2 linked regions of the Schizosaccharomyces pombe genome follow. The protein of the gene in region 1 purifies or fractionates together with the protein of each later gene. This does not show direct contact. Each region holds a gene or a part of one and is shown on either strand. Other genes may lie near its edges.

Region 1 (8,365 bases):
TTTGTAAGGGAGAGAGGTAAGGTCGTCTATCGGTATTGAAACGCACTCTACGATTTCCGTCCATTGTTTTTTATTTTTCTAAAAAATAACTTTTCTTTTCTAAAATGATAATAAAATTTGAAGATATTCGTGTCGCTGATGTTAATCGCAACAATCAACACACGCCCATAAAAAATCTAATTTACTTCATTCAATGAATCATCACAAATATGATCAATTGTTTTAAAATAATTTAAAACAATTGCAATTCACTAGTTGAAGCACTACAGTTTTCAATTGACACTCCTAAGTGGGTTTATGCTAGGTGGTTAGTGAACACTTTACGCCTCTATACCAAAAATTCCACGTGGTTCGCCTTAATGTCGTTCGTGTCTAGAGCCAGCTTTAGGGAGTAATCAGTATTTTATATTTATTCTTTTAAAATTCTCCGGCCGTATAATAAAAAATTGATGGTTTCTGATGCTGTCGGCGGCGACGCAAATTCATTAAATATGAAATATATTTACTGCCCAGCTTTAAAAAAAAATATACAACTTAAACGACAAAGCTTCCCTCACTTTATTCTGCCACTTATCTATATTAAAAATGTATTTACTTATTACTTTAATTAGTTTTTACAAATGACCATTAAACTCTGTCAACATAATATCCTGTTTCTACAGGATACAGTCATTTATTTAATGAATAATCATCGGTAGTTACTAGCATTATAGCATTCATGCCACGAATCTCAGACCGTGAAATAAAATACTATATAAAAAGATTATAAGCAGCATTAAGCCAGTAATTTTCGTTAGTATTATTTGGTTTTATTCAAATAAGCCGATGATAATAGAATGTCACGAAAAGCGAGATTCATGGAAACAGAAAGTTTTAACTCGGTGCCCCGAAAAATAAAATAATTAACCAACATCAACAACTCGTCTCTGGAAAATGCATTTAAAAATGTTGTTTTCAAGTCAGTTTCATAAAATCTTTTTCTTGCTTTAGCAAGACTTTTGATATGTAAAGGTTCTAAGTCAAGATGAAGAAAAATCTGTAAATTGTTTATTATATTCAAATTCTCCAGCACATACTTATTGTAAAAGTCATCTGTAAGGCTCATCGTGCTAGCTTTAGAATACTGATAAAACAAAATCCTTAAAGCTGCCATAGGAGGAAGGATTGCCATATCCAAGAACTTTTGAATTAGGAAAGAGGGGTAAGGAATCAATAAATTTCGTGGACTTTTAAATTTTGATAAGATATACTGCTGGTCCTTTTCAAATTTCATATTTTCTCTTCGAGAAAATGACCACGAGATGTCTCCTAATGTCTCAGCAGTCATAGGATAAGGCACGAATGAAAGAAGGTGTCTATTCCTTTTAAAAGGATGCAACAAAGACGATTTTGAAAATTCCAAAAGATTTGCATTCGTGATCCCATGTTTTGTAAGAATATCAGTTATTTTTTCGATAACTGGGTATGGTTGGTTTACTAAAAGTAAACATGCACTCGGAGAGCTTTTAATTTCAGGAATTAGTTTATGAATTGAGTCGACAGTTAGATTCCATTTGGTAGATACTATAAAGGTCACTCCCTTGTATCCAGTATATTCTTGAACTTTAAAAATGCTATGTGCATTTTCGGGATATTTAGTAATACATTTAACGCCCTTTAAAAATTCATTTTTCAGTTTCGTCTTTAAAAGTTGTATTGCTGAGTTTTTGATGTTATGAGTACCCTAGGTTTTAGTAGTTAGAGAAAGAAAGAGAAAAATAATGATATGTAATATTCATTCAAAAAGCTAACCTACAATAAATAGACTCATACGTCTAAATGAGTTGTTTCGACCGTCCGAATTTTGCTTTTATTAAGTCCAGTAGAATAATCGCTGTAGACGTAAGTAAAAGGTCTCTTATGTTACAGTCAATTAGGGTTTATGTGTCTTTTACATGCTAATGTTAACTAAAGAAACTTTTTCAAAATTTCTTCAATAATCTTGCATTTGGGAGCTTTAAAATTTGATTATCGAATAAGAAAGTAATATAACTATTCACATAATCCATAGTCTCTTTGTTTATTCACATCCATTAGAATAGGCTTACAAAGTACTTATACTATTTATGAAACGCCTCTTATTAATCATCTAAAAAAGTATTTATGTATAAATGAATTTGAAAATGTTAACTGAAAGTGCGAAACCAATTTATGCAACATGAATATTCTATCTACTATAATAAATGTACATCAAACATTACCAGTACTAAAGGTACTTAATTTTCTTTATAAGTTAAAACAAAAACATGCAAATTCAAATATTCCGCCAAGCAATTTTTAAATTGTTGCGCGCACTTACGGAAGAGTATAGCTAATAATCATAAAAGCTATGATGACGACGCCTCTCAATTTCCTCTGCTAATTCATAGTCGTTATAATAAGGCGCAGAAGGCTCATAAGTAGTATGCGTTAAAGGCATATGCTGCCGAGAAATACGAGAATCAGACATGTGAGGCGGACTTTCATAAACTCCATAAACTGAGGAAGTGGGGTAGTATGGAGAAATCTGTCTATGCCGTTTATGGTAATACGGAGAAAACGATGAATTGTTAGATTCGTATGAATAGTGCGTTTCAATAGGAGGCGGACGATTCAAATGGAGCAGGGAGCGATTTTCTAAAATTGGCTCCCAATTATATCTTGATTGATTTGAAAACTGAGAAGGGCTCTCATGAAGACGATGAATGCCATTATAAGGAGGAAGCGATTTACGGGAAAGAAAAGTGCCGTCATAGTCTACAGAATTCCTTATCCCCGGAGGTAGAATATAAGTATTTTGATGAGGGAAAGGATGAGAAGTTTGATCTAAAGAAACCGGTTTATCTAAAAGGACAGCAGAAGGACGAGGGTGAGGCATTATATCCTTATAATCCCGAGTTGACATGACATTGTTCTCCAAGGACAACTCAGGTATTCGATTGACTTGTAGCGATTGCAATTCCTTTGGATAGGGGATCCAAGATGGAGAATACGGATGCAAATCCGAAATTGGTGATTGATTTCCCAGAATGACAGACGGCTCTTCGTTTTTTACGGAGACAATTGAGTTTTTTTCATCTGATAAAGGAACCGAAGGAAACCTAGTAGAGCTAGGTCTTGTTGACTGGGGAGGTGAAGGAAGGCGAGGAGAAGTAAAAGCTTTGTTAATAAGTAGGTTATTGCCCTGCTCACTCGATTCCAAATGTTTAAGACACGGGACTGCAACGTTAGTTGCCCTCGGAGGAGAAGGAGCTGACACAAGCGATACGGGAAGCGCAGATGATGGTGGAGACGGCATATACAGGTTTGATAACTCCACTGATCCAGTATCATTTTTCAACGGACTACGGCGAAAAGTGTTCGGTTGATATGTCTCTTTATTCACATTTTTTTTATTTTCCTTAGGCGTTGATGAAGAATTGCTAGGAAGAACTGAAGAAGGATTAAAAGCTTGATTCCCATACAAAGATAAAGTACTCTTTGCTAACAATTTATTAGATTTTTCCGGTTTTGAGGACTCCTCTTGAGTCCCAGTAGAAGATTGTTTGCTAGTGTTTACAACGGGAGTAATATCCTCTTTCATCAAACCAGTGGCTTCAGGTTTTGTTTGACTATTAAGTAAGGAATTAAAATCACGGTTAATGTCTAGCCGTGGTAAATTAGTAGATGATTTAGAAAAACAGTTTTCGGACATAGATTCTCTGTTACTAAAACCTCCATTCTTAAATTCAGAAGGAGTATTTTCATCTCTGGTTTGTGCTTTGGGTGATGATTTCAGGAGTTTGTTATTACCTTCATCATTTGCAATTTCGACTTTCCGTTTAACAGAATCAAAATTTTTTAAAGATTTATGTAATCTATCTCTTAAAAATTTTAAACGAACATTGTTCGGAACCAAAAATTGTTGATGTTTCCCTTCAAACACAGTATCTCTAAAAGAAATTATTTTTTTGTATTCCTTCTCCACAGAAGGTTCAACGGCATCCATTAATATTTAAATTTAACCAAAACAATAAAAATTCATGAATTCCCAAAAAAAGTTTTATTCAACATTTGGATGTTGCCAAGATATACGCTCTTGAATGTGCGTAGAGGTGACCATTAAGGAGCGCTGCACCACTGTATATATTATCTTGCATAATACAAACATAACAAAAACATTCATTAATCAAAATTGCTAAAGGCTCAAATGGGTTCTTTTATATTCTGGATACTACAAAGTTAAGCTTTTGCATTGTACGAATCACATTATTTTTTGCTTCAATTACGCACACTGCCTTAGCACAAATCTGTTTTACTTTTACCATTGAACGTGATCAGCAATTGTATTAAGACAGGGGTGAATGTGAACTACTAAATAAATTAACAGTCGATTTAAGAGAAATGCCATCGATTATCCTTTACTGTTCGTGGAATCAAGATCGTGGGTAAGTGGCACACATAAAATAGATTTTGTGCAATCTTTGTACTGACTGCTAAATTTAGCTTTTTATCAATTGGTTCTGAGAATGGCTATCAAGTTTATCGCTCCAATCCGTTTACCCTGTGCTTTTCAAAAAGTAAGCTGTCAATGAATTTCCGAGAAGTGGAAACACAAGCCCATCTTACACGACTTATAACTTACTGATTGTAGAAGCCAATGGGGCAAGTATTTGTGAAATGCTTTATGAATCTTCTCTACTTGCTTTCGTGAATATTTCCCCTGAGTCGACGAGGTTACTAAAATTGGTTGACATCAAGGTAATTAGTTAACTGAGATTCTGCATTGATTTCTTAATTTTAACCCATATTTTTAGAGAGATATCGTTTTATGCCGAATATTTTATCCGAGTCCTGTGCTAAGTGTACGTTTCACATGGAATCGTTTAGTTGTTTTAATTAAAGGGAGTATTTACGTATATAATCTAAAAAACATGGAATTAATTAATACTCTAAATACCTCGAAAGGAAATGTTATAGCTTTTGCTGTTCATGAGAATTATGTTGCATATAATTCACCGACCAACCCTGGTGATATTTATTTAGCCTCATTGGATACTGCAATACCCGTCACATTGATTCATTGCCATTCTTCCGCTGTCCAAGTAGTTGACTTTCATCCGCGTGGACATTTGATTGCGACTGCATCCGCAAAGGGAACTGTAATCCGTGTTATAACAACTAGTGATGGTGAATTGGTGACAGAATTGCGCAGGGGATATATACCTGCATCCATTGTATCTATCTCATTTCACCCAGTTGAGCCTTTTCTGGCTTGTGCTTCTGAAAATGGTACTATTCACGTTTTCAAAATCTCTAAGCAACCATCGGATCCGAATTCGTCTCCTACATCTTCCGTAACTGTGTCATCTTCTTGGTCAAAATATTTAACTTCAAATGTAGCAAAAGTTTGGGACACTAGGAAAGAATTTGCAACTGCTAAGATTCCTGAAGCTTCTTTCTATGGAAAAATAATTTTTTCGAGCAGCGGTCCGCACATACAAGTAGCTTCTTATTCAGGACACTATTATCGGTTCGCAGTAAATCTTAAAAATGGAGGAAATTGTGCTTTACTTGAGCGTTACATGTAAGCTGTTTGTTAAATTTTCGATTATTAACATATCTAGCTTTGACGATTAACTTTTTGCGCACAAGTTTTAAATTTACTCATACATCAGCTTCACAATGTTTTAGCTTTCATGGTCTTATGTTTTTTTTTTATTTACTGAACATGCTATCATTTATGTTTAGACCTTTGTAGATAATTTATTAAAATGTTAATGTCGATAAGTTGGTGTTTCACTAATATATTATACACCGGTACAGATGTGAAAAATTATCATTACGGTAGACACCTTACAAGTGCATCATATATCCTATATAAATTTTATATGCATTCCATAAATTCAATATTTGTACCGAAACAGGAGAATTAAAAATTCGAAGATAACAACATTCTATTAGAAACCCATAAAATTAAAGTAAATTTTTAGCGGCACGTTGACAACGCTAAAATCCAACCATGAAAAATTCCAGCTATTAACAAGTCCAAGAAGAAAGTAAAACATACGATGACTTATAAGAAGTAATCGGGTGTTCTTCTGGTGACATGTAATTCCTCCTTTCGGGGAGCAGTATCATATTGGATAAATGCGTAATTTATGTGGTCATCAATTCCCATAATGGCTGCTTGGTTTCCACATCGATAACAATAATTGGGAGCAGAAAAAATAGTAACAACATTATGGTTTGTAGTCCAATTATAACCTTCCATAACTAGCTGATGAGCTCTTGCTATTAAATCTAAACCGTTATTATGGTTAAATGCTTCAGCAATATCCGGGCCAAACGTATACCCAGCACCTCGAGGAGAAATACCCCAACCAGGTCGGTCATCAGGATCTGACCATAACAAGTCGCATATCGGACCTTCATGAGGAACCTCTTGCACACGATCTAATATACGAACATGGTCAAGTGTATCAATACTAGGAGAAAGACCTCCGTGAAGGCAAAAAATTCGATCTTCAATTAGGGCGGTGAGAGGCAAATAGTCAAAAAGATCTGTAAAGTACTGCCAAACATTCGCATTTCCATACTTTCTAAGGCATTCATCATAAAATCCATAAACTTGTGTAATTTGCCTAGATTCATGGTTTCCACGTAATATTGTTATACGCTGGGGATATCGAATTTTAAAAGCAATCAGTAGAGAAACTGTTTCTACACTGTGATATCCTCTGTCAACATAATCTCCCATAAACAAATAATTTGTATCAGGTGAAGGGCCGCCAATATTGAACAACTCCATTAAGTCATGGAATTGTCCATGAATATCACCACAAACCGTTACAGGGCATCGGACGCTTTGAACGTTTGATTCTACAGAAAGTACCTCTTTTGCGAGATCACACATTTGAATGACATCTTCCTCTGAAAGAGGTTCGCATCGACTCAACTGTTCAATCCAACGATCGACCTCTCCAATTTTTCCAGAGACAGACATCTTGTTGAAAAAAACTTAAAGCAATAGTTAATAAACGACTAAATTTTTAATTAAAAAGAAAAGCATCCACAGAAAAATCCATAAGGGCTTTTCCGTTTGTATGCTATCCTGCGTTGAGCATGCGTTTTTCAACTTCCCACTTACGAATTCACTGGATGACGGGGGTATTGTAAGCTTATTCACTTTCTTGACAAAATAATGGTGTCTGAGGTACGTTTACTGTACATATACTGTATTTTATTATTTATTCGTTCGTATGTGGGAAAGAGAAATATTATGTTTTACAGACACGGTGGGGAGTTAGGTGAAGAAAGAAAATGATGCGAGTACGGGAAAATTTGTATGAAGGTTGAAAGGTATGGTAGTAGACAGGATACATAAAGTCACAATATTTCATGTTTTAAATTTTATTTCAATTTATTAATAACCAAAATATTACAGACATGGATTTCGTAATAGCAATTTTTTCTGCAAGCCCCTTAAAACATCATTACAAGTTTCCTGACTTTGAGTAACTTTACCAAACCAAAATATAACAATATGCGTGATCTACATTATGTTATACTCGCTACCTTATTTCGGCGATCTCACGACCAAAAGACGCAAAATTTAATATCTCTTTATTTTCTTTCTTAAAAAAAATAAAGAGATATTGTAGCAATGCGACCACTTACGGACTGATATGATATAGGATTTTTCATACAAGACTCGCAAATGGATGAGTATATAAATACAAATTATGTTAAATCATTGCTTCTAACAACCCAAACTAATCGAACCGTTGGTGAATGATGCATTTAAATTGCTATGAGGACCTGCTTGAAACTAAGTTTCGAGGCGCTGATAACAAATATCTATCAACTTTAGGTATAAAAATGTTGAAGTACGAAAACTTCTTAGGTATTATTCAGATTTAACTGCTAAAGAATAATTTTTGCAAATCTTTATGGATATCAGCAAAGGTTTCGAATTCAGAGAAAGAAATTTTCTCCCTTTCACAATATTTAATTAAATCACGTCCTTTCTTGGCAAACAAGTGTTCTGTTTCCTTCGCAGCACTCAAATCGGAAACACCATCTCCGCAATAGACCATGTGAGGACGTTTACTTTCTGGCAATTGAGCATACGGACGGATAGTAAGGCTTTTGTCGTGTCCAAAATGACTGTCATCATGATACACAATGTTCCATTGACCATCAGGATGCACATTGATGTCATTAGAAACAATTTCAATACTACTTGCTTCTTCTTTGCCAAGGTATTGCTCAAAAAGTGCACGAATAAAAGGCTCCATACCACTTGAAAGGATGATTACACGAATGTCTTGAGACTTACACCATTCATAGAATGGTTTAAATGATG
Region 2 (5,326 bases), 280 kb from region 1:
CAAATGGAAGATGAGTAAAAAGTAGTTGTGTTCGCAACGTATTTGTCCTCGGAATATGCGGATATTTTGATCCAATGTTTTTGCATCGCTACTTTTATGTGTTTCATTTTGTACCACTACAATTCGAGTTTTTAAACCAGTTTCAATTCCATCCTTCCTAACCATGTTTTCTTACCACTAACTCTACAGATGCTTGCACTCAGCGATCACTCGCATCCCCCCACTCACACATTCTCCCTTTCTACTTCCTCTCCTCTTGTTAGTGGACTTTTCTTTCTACTTTGCACGCTCGCTTACAATTCCATGTACCACGCCCATCCTCCTAATCTCCATATATCAGCATCATGTACCGTGCTCCTCCTTCGTCTCCCACGTGATCCATAGATAACGAACATCATAGATAAGCCGGTAAGACTATTTAAGTGCAGTGGAACAGCAGGCACACTAATCCTTAAGATTTGACCAAGTTGGTTCAGGTTGGTATAGTCTTATTTAGAGTGCGTGTGTACGTAAGAAAAGAACGCAGAGTGCGGGATCTAGACATTAAACACCTCAGTTCTCCGCTGTTTAACCAATCTTACTAAACCTAAGTTCAACTATCGCTGTTACAATCGTTGCCTTTTTGTTCATTCAGAAAAGCATAAAAAGCGAAGAATATCCTGCTTTCCCCACATCTCCATCACATTCTTTGTTGTACTCAACTCGAGATTTCTAAATAGTTGTACAGCGGTTTTTTTGTGTGTTTGTGTGTGCGATTTGCTTTTGTTTGACAGAAAGCCTTTATTCAAGATATCAACTATACCAGAACTCAAGCACGAAGGTTCTGTAAAATAATCAATCGATCGTCTCATCCTCTCAACGACTTGTATTCATCATGACTCTTAGTGGAAAACCTGCAGCTTTACTCGTTGGCACTTTGAAGCACGCTCATAAGGAGTGGGAAGCTCTTGGAAAATATGCAGAGTTGAAGGTAAAGAAATAGAGAAGGGAGGGAAGAAGGGACAGTAGTGGGAGATGGAGGTTGAAGGATGAGCAGAGGATATGGAACTAAAAAATTCAAGAGTGATTGCTTGTTTGTTGTTCTGTTGCTTCTTCTCCCTCGTCCTCTGCTTCTGCGATTCTGTTGGATTTCTTGGCTATCTAGCGGATCTCCTAGCTTCCCGACAAAACCTCAACATATGCGCTTAGTTGTGTTTACCTGTTCTTGTTTACTAATGTCGTTTTAGACCTACAGCGATGGCACTCGCGAAGACTTCTTGGCCAAATGCAAAACCGAGTTTCAAAATGTAAAGGCCATCTGTCGTACTTACAACTCCAAGTTTTACATGGGCATTTTTGACAAGGAAATCATTGATAATTTGCCCCCATCCGTCAAGTTTATCTGCCATTTGGGTGCTGGTTATGAAACTGTTGATGTGGCTGCTTGTACCGCTCGTGGTATTCAAGTCTCCCACGTTCCCAAGGCTGTCGACGATGCAACCGCCGACGTTGGTATCTTCTTAATGTTAGGTGCCCTTCGTGGATTTAACCAAGGTATCTTTGAGTTACACAAGAACAACTGGAATGCAAATTGCAAACCCTCTCATGATCCCGAGGGTAAAACGCTTGGTATTTTGGGTTTGGGCGGTATTGGTAAGACCATGGCCAAGCGTGCTCGCGCCTTTGACATGAAAATCGTATATCACAATCGTACTCCCCTTCCCGAGGAAGAAGCTGAAGGTGCCGAGTTTGTCTCATTTGACGATCTTTTAGCCAAGTCAGATGTGCTTTCCCTCAATTTGCCCTTGAATGCTCACACCCGGCATATCATTGGAAAACCAGAATTTCAAAAGATGAAGCGTGGAATTGTCATCGTCAACACTGCACGTGGTGCCGTTATGGATGAAGCTGCTCTCGTCGAAGCTCTCGACGAAGGCATCGTTTACTCTGCCGGTCTTGACGTATTTGAAGAAGAGCCCAAAATTCATCCTGGTCTTTTGGAGAACGAAAAGGTGATTCTTCTTCCTCATTTAGGTACAAACAGTCTTGAGACCCAATACAAAATGGAATGCGCTGTTCTCATGAACGTCAAAAATGGAATTGTCAATGATTCGTAAGTCCTTATGTTTTTCCCCTTTCTTTCAATTTCTAACTTTTTTTCTAGACTTCCCAATTTGGTTCCTGAACAACGTGGTGATATAGAGTAGATTATGTTTTTCTGTCTACTTACCTCGGCTTTACGTAAATCGACTTAAATGTTTTTATATGCTTATGTTATACGGTCGTTCAAATATTGATTCATTCGTCTCAAATTATGGTCTATTCATGACTATTTTCATTATATAGTAAATACATATTTCTACTGTTCTTTCTCATTCTTTCTCCCTAGCAGATTTCGTAAAACGACAACGATGAACTACTGCTGTAGTTTCAAACTCTTACATTTACATCTTAATAGCAAAAAAGCATCGTTGATATGTAGCGGTTCTCTTTTTTTCTCCAGGTTTAATAATACACAGTTAGAAAGGACCATGATAATAATTCAGAAAATTTTAATTAATATTTACAGTACCCAAAAATGCTTCACATCCCTTATTCATACAATGAACGTCCAGTCAAATTGAAAAAAAAAATGAGCAACTCTTAGTTGCGTTTTTTCTTCTTTTTGTTTTTATTTTTCTTTGTTTTTCGGGCATTGGACTCTTTGGGGGAATGTAGAGAAATGACATCTTGAGACAACTCATTAACTTTCCTCTTTTTGGATTCCTTTGCCGGGGCCTTCACCTCCATTTTACGGGATGCCTCCGCCTTTTTAGACACTAATTCTTGTTTACGACGTTCTCTTTCTGTAAGCTCCGATGTGTCCGTTATTTTAGTACCGTTTACATCAACCTCTTCATTCTTAGAAACATCTTTTTCATCCACATTTTCCTCTCCTAGTTCCTTATTAAATAATCCAAAGCTAGCTCTTCCTTGTACTAAATTAGGTTCATTTGAATGACTTTCAAGATCGTTTTCTTCAATCAGACCCCCATAACCCGATTCATATTCTACATTACGAGTCATCTTTTGGGGTAAAAAATCAACTTTTCCTGCAAGACTCCAATGCTCATCTGTAACAATGTTCTTGCTTAACTCTTCTTCTGCTTGCTTCGGGTCAATGCCTCGAGCGCGTTGCATAAACTACAAAATACAGGTTAGTAGAAATTTTTCTTAAAAATTTGACTAAATTTCGTACTTTCATAGAAAGAAGTTTAGACGACATTTTAAAATAAATATCTTATCATAAAAAAAAACAATTGTTTTACTATTGCTTACAAAATCTATGAAAAAGAGACTTTGCAGCTAGCAGAAGAGTAGGTCTCGTCACACTTGTTTGGATAGCGAGAAAAACCGCAGTGCCAGAATGCAAAACTGAAATTAAGATGAGAATATAAAATCAGTAAATTTGAGAATCGGATTAGGGAAAAAAAACTAATTAAATAATAAAGACCTATCGATTTCATCAAAGGGTTTAAGTGGGAAAGCCGCTTTACTCAATGTCATGCTTTCCTTGAACATGTTGCCATTTTCAATGATAGTAACATTGGGAATTTCGTAAACTTCATCTTCACAGCGTTGAGAAACAACATGCACAGATATTTTTTTAGTATTTTCTCCTTCATAATGAATGTTGTTTATGAAGAAACTGTAAAACTCATCCTTGGTAATGGTAGACACAATTTCTGCTTGCTTTTCCAATCTGGTAAAGTCATAAAATCCATCACAAATACGTAACCAATACATAGAAGATTCCTCTTTTAAGTTTGTATGCTTTTCGAGCATAAAGTTAATCAAGCTTGATTTGTGCTTACTGAAATCCTCGTCGGACATTTCTAAAAATTCGCTTTTGAATTGATCCAACAAGGCACGAATTCTGGACTCTAAGTATGTACTACTTCTCTCACTTTGCACAAAAATATTCAAATTTATAAAAGGCGTGACTTGACGAACTAAAGTAAAAACAATATAACCAAGTTGTTCTTTAGTACGCAAGATGGAGAAAGTGGGTTCCTTCATTATTTGCCGTGCTAGTCGAGTTAGGGCTCCAGATCTTTCATCGTCAAGCTGGCTGATTTGAAGATTATACATAATAGCAGAATTTTTCTCTTCCTTGTTTGGCACCACAGTTTTGTAAATATAATTACCACCTTCAGGAACTATTATAGCCCTTTTACGGCTCAACTGGGATGCAAAGACTGGTTTTGGGTCAATCAGTTTTTGAGCGGATTCAATAAGATTTTTGGCATCTTCCTCGGTATAGTTTCCATGTACCAAAGATTCTAAAAAGTTTTGTTTTAATAAATCACTAATAAAATCAGACATATCGCCCACCTGGACATCTTTAATAGCTTCACGTAACTCAGCATTTGACCACGAATGCGGTTCGCTCAACCATGTGAGTACATGGTTTGAACGATGATATGCTTCCAAAGCATCATAATCTTTAAGTTCTTGTTCCAAGCGATTCTTTAATATTTCAAATCTTTGCGGATGAACTTTGAGATCACGCATCATTGCGACTACTTTTTCCAAAAGTACATGTAATTTATCAGTAAACCCTGAAATACAAAGTATTATGCCACGAGTAGATGGTGAAAGTGAAAAGGAAAGACCAGCTAAGCTAGCAGGATAAGAATATTCTCCTAGAGCATCTTCTATTAATCGCGTGTAAAGTGTCGTCGACACAGAAACTTTGGGAGACCTCCTGGCGATTGGAGATATGAAATTTATGAAAACGTTAGCTTTAGGTACCCAAAAAGTGTCATCCTTTTTATGCCATAATCTTACAAATTTGTCATTTCGCACCAAATTCGGCACTTTCAGTTTCGTCGTTACTGGCTGCTTTTCAACTTCTAAAGACCAAGGAATGAATTCATTTGCCAAAGGCAAGTAAAGTTCACTGGATGTCTTAATATGTAGCAAAGAGTCTATAAACTGAGAATCCAAATCCTCCAATCCGTAATCTATGCCATAGAACTTCTCTTTATTATCAAGTCCTTTCTCAATTGAATGAGCAGCTAAAATGGCAAAAAAGTTATTAGGACGAAGACTCTCAACAACCTCCTGAATACCTTTAGGGTCAAATTCAGTGAGTACTGAGGAATAATAAAGGACTTTATCACGAGGATATTCTCGTTGAAGCTTGCTAGCAACAACATGCGCATACTGGTAAGCAGGGGTTTTTTGTCTCGTTTTAAATTGAGCCTCTGACATGATACGGGTTTCTTCAAATAAAAACTTGTGAGCATTTGTCTGGTCGAGCAATCTTATATATTCAAATAAAATTTTAATAACCCTCTGGTAA

What was found. The genes of interacting proteins can lie anywhere in the genome.
Region 2: the proteins of iss10 (region 1) and mpp6 purify together in Schizosaccharomyces pombe (affinity purification with mass spectrometry, with the first as the bait; one large-scale study listed by BioGRID). This does not show direct contact.

Annotation. Positions count from the first base shown.
Region 1 is NC_003424.3:2,606,741-2,615,105, reverse strand, and holds iss10 (protein Iss10), read right to left. Parts: upstream 4,081-8,365; 5' UTR 4,007-4,080; coding exon 2,351-4,006; 3' UTR 2,104-2,350; downstream 1-2,103. Other genes in the region: SPOM_SPAC7D4.12C (uncharacterized protein), read right to left, coding at 1-64; SPOM_SPAC7D4.13C (uncharacterized protein), read right to left, coding at 800-1,723, 1,796-1,810; phosphatidylinositol-3,5-bisphosphate binding protein Atg1802, read left to right, coding at 4,402-4,445, 4,504-4,577, 4,652-4,758, 4,815-5,584, 5,625-5,637; serine/threonine protein phosphatase PP2A catalytic subunit Ppa1, read right to left, coding at 6,074-7,003; ptf1 (phosphoric monoester hydrolase), read right to left, coding at 7,917-8,365.
Region 2 is NC_003424.3:2,888,076-2,893,401, reverse strand, and holds mpp6 (nuclear exosome-associated RNA binding protein Mpp6), read right to left. Parts: upstream 3,327-5,326; 5' UTR 3,245-3,326; coding exon 3,218-3,244; intron 3,182-3,217; exon of another isoform or gene 3,163-3,181; coding exon 2,623-3,162; 3' UTR 2,515-2,622; downstream 1-2,514. Other genes in the region: SPOM_SPACUNK4.20 (uncharacterized protein), read right to left, coding at 627-851; gor1 (glyoxylate reductase), read left to right, coding at 875-970, 1,227-2,092, 2,144-2,186; iph1 (metallopeptidase), read right to left, coding at 3,454-5,326. UniProt on the Schizosaccharomyces pombe protein: RNA-binding protein that associates with the RNA exosome complex.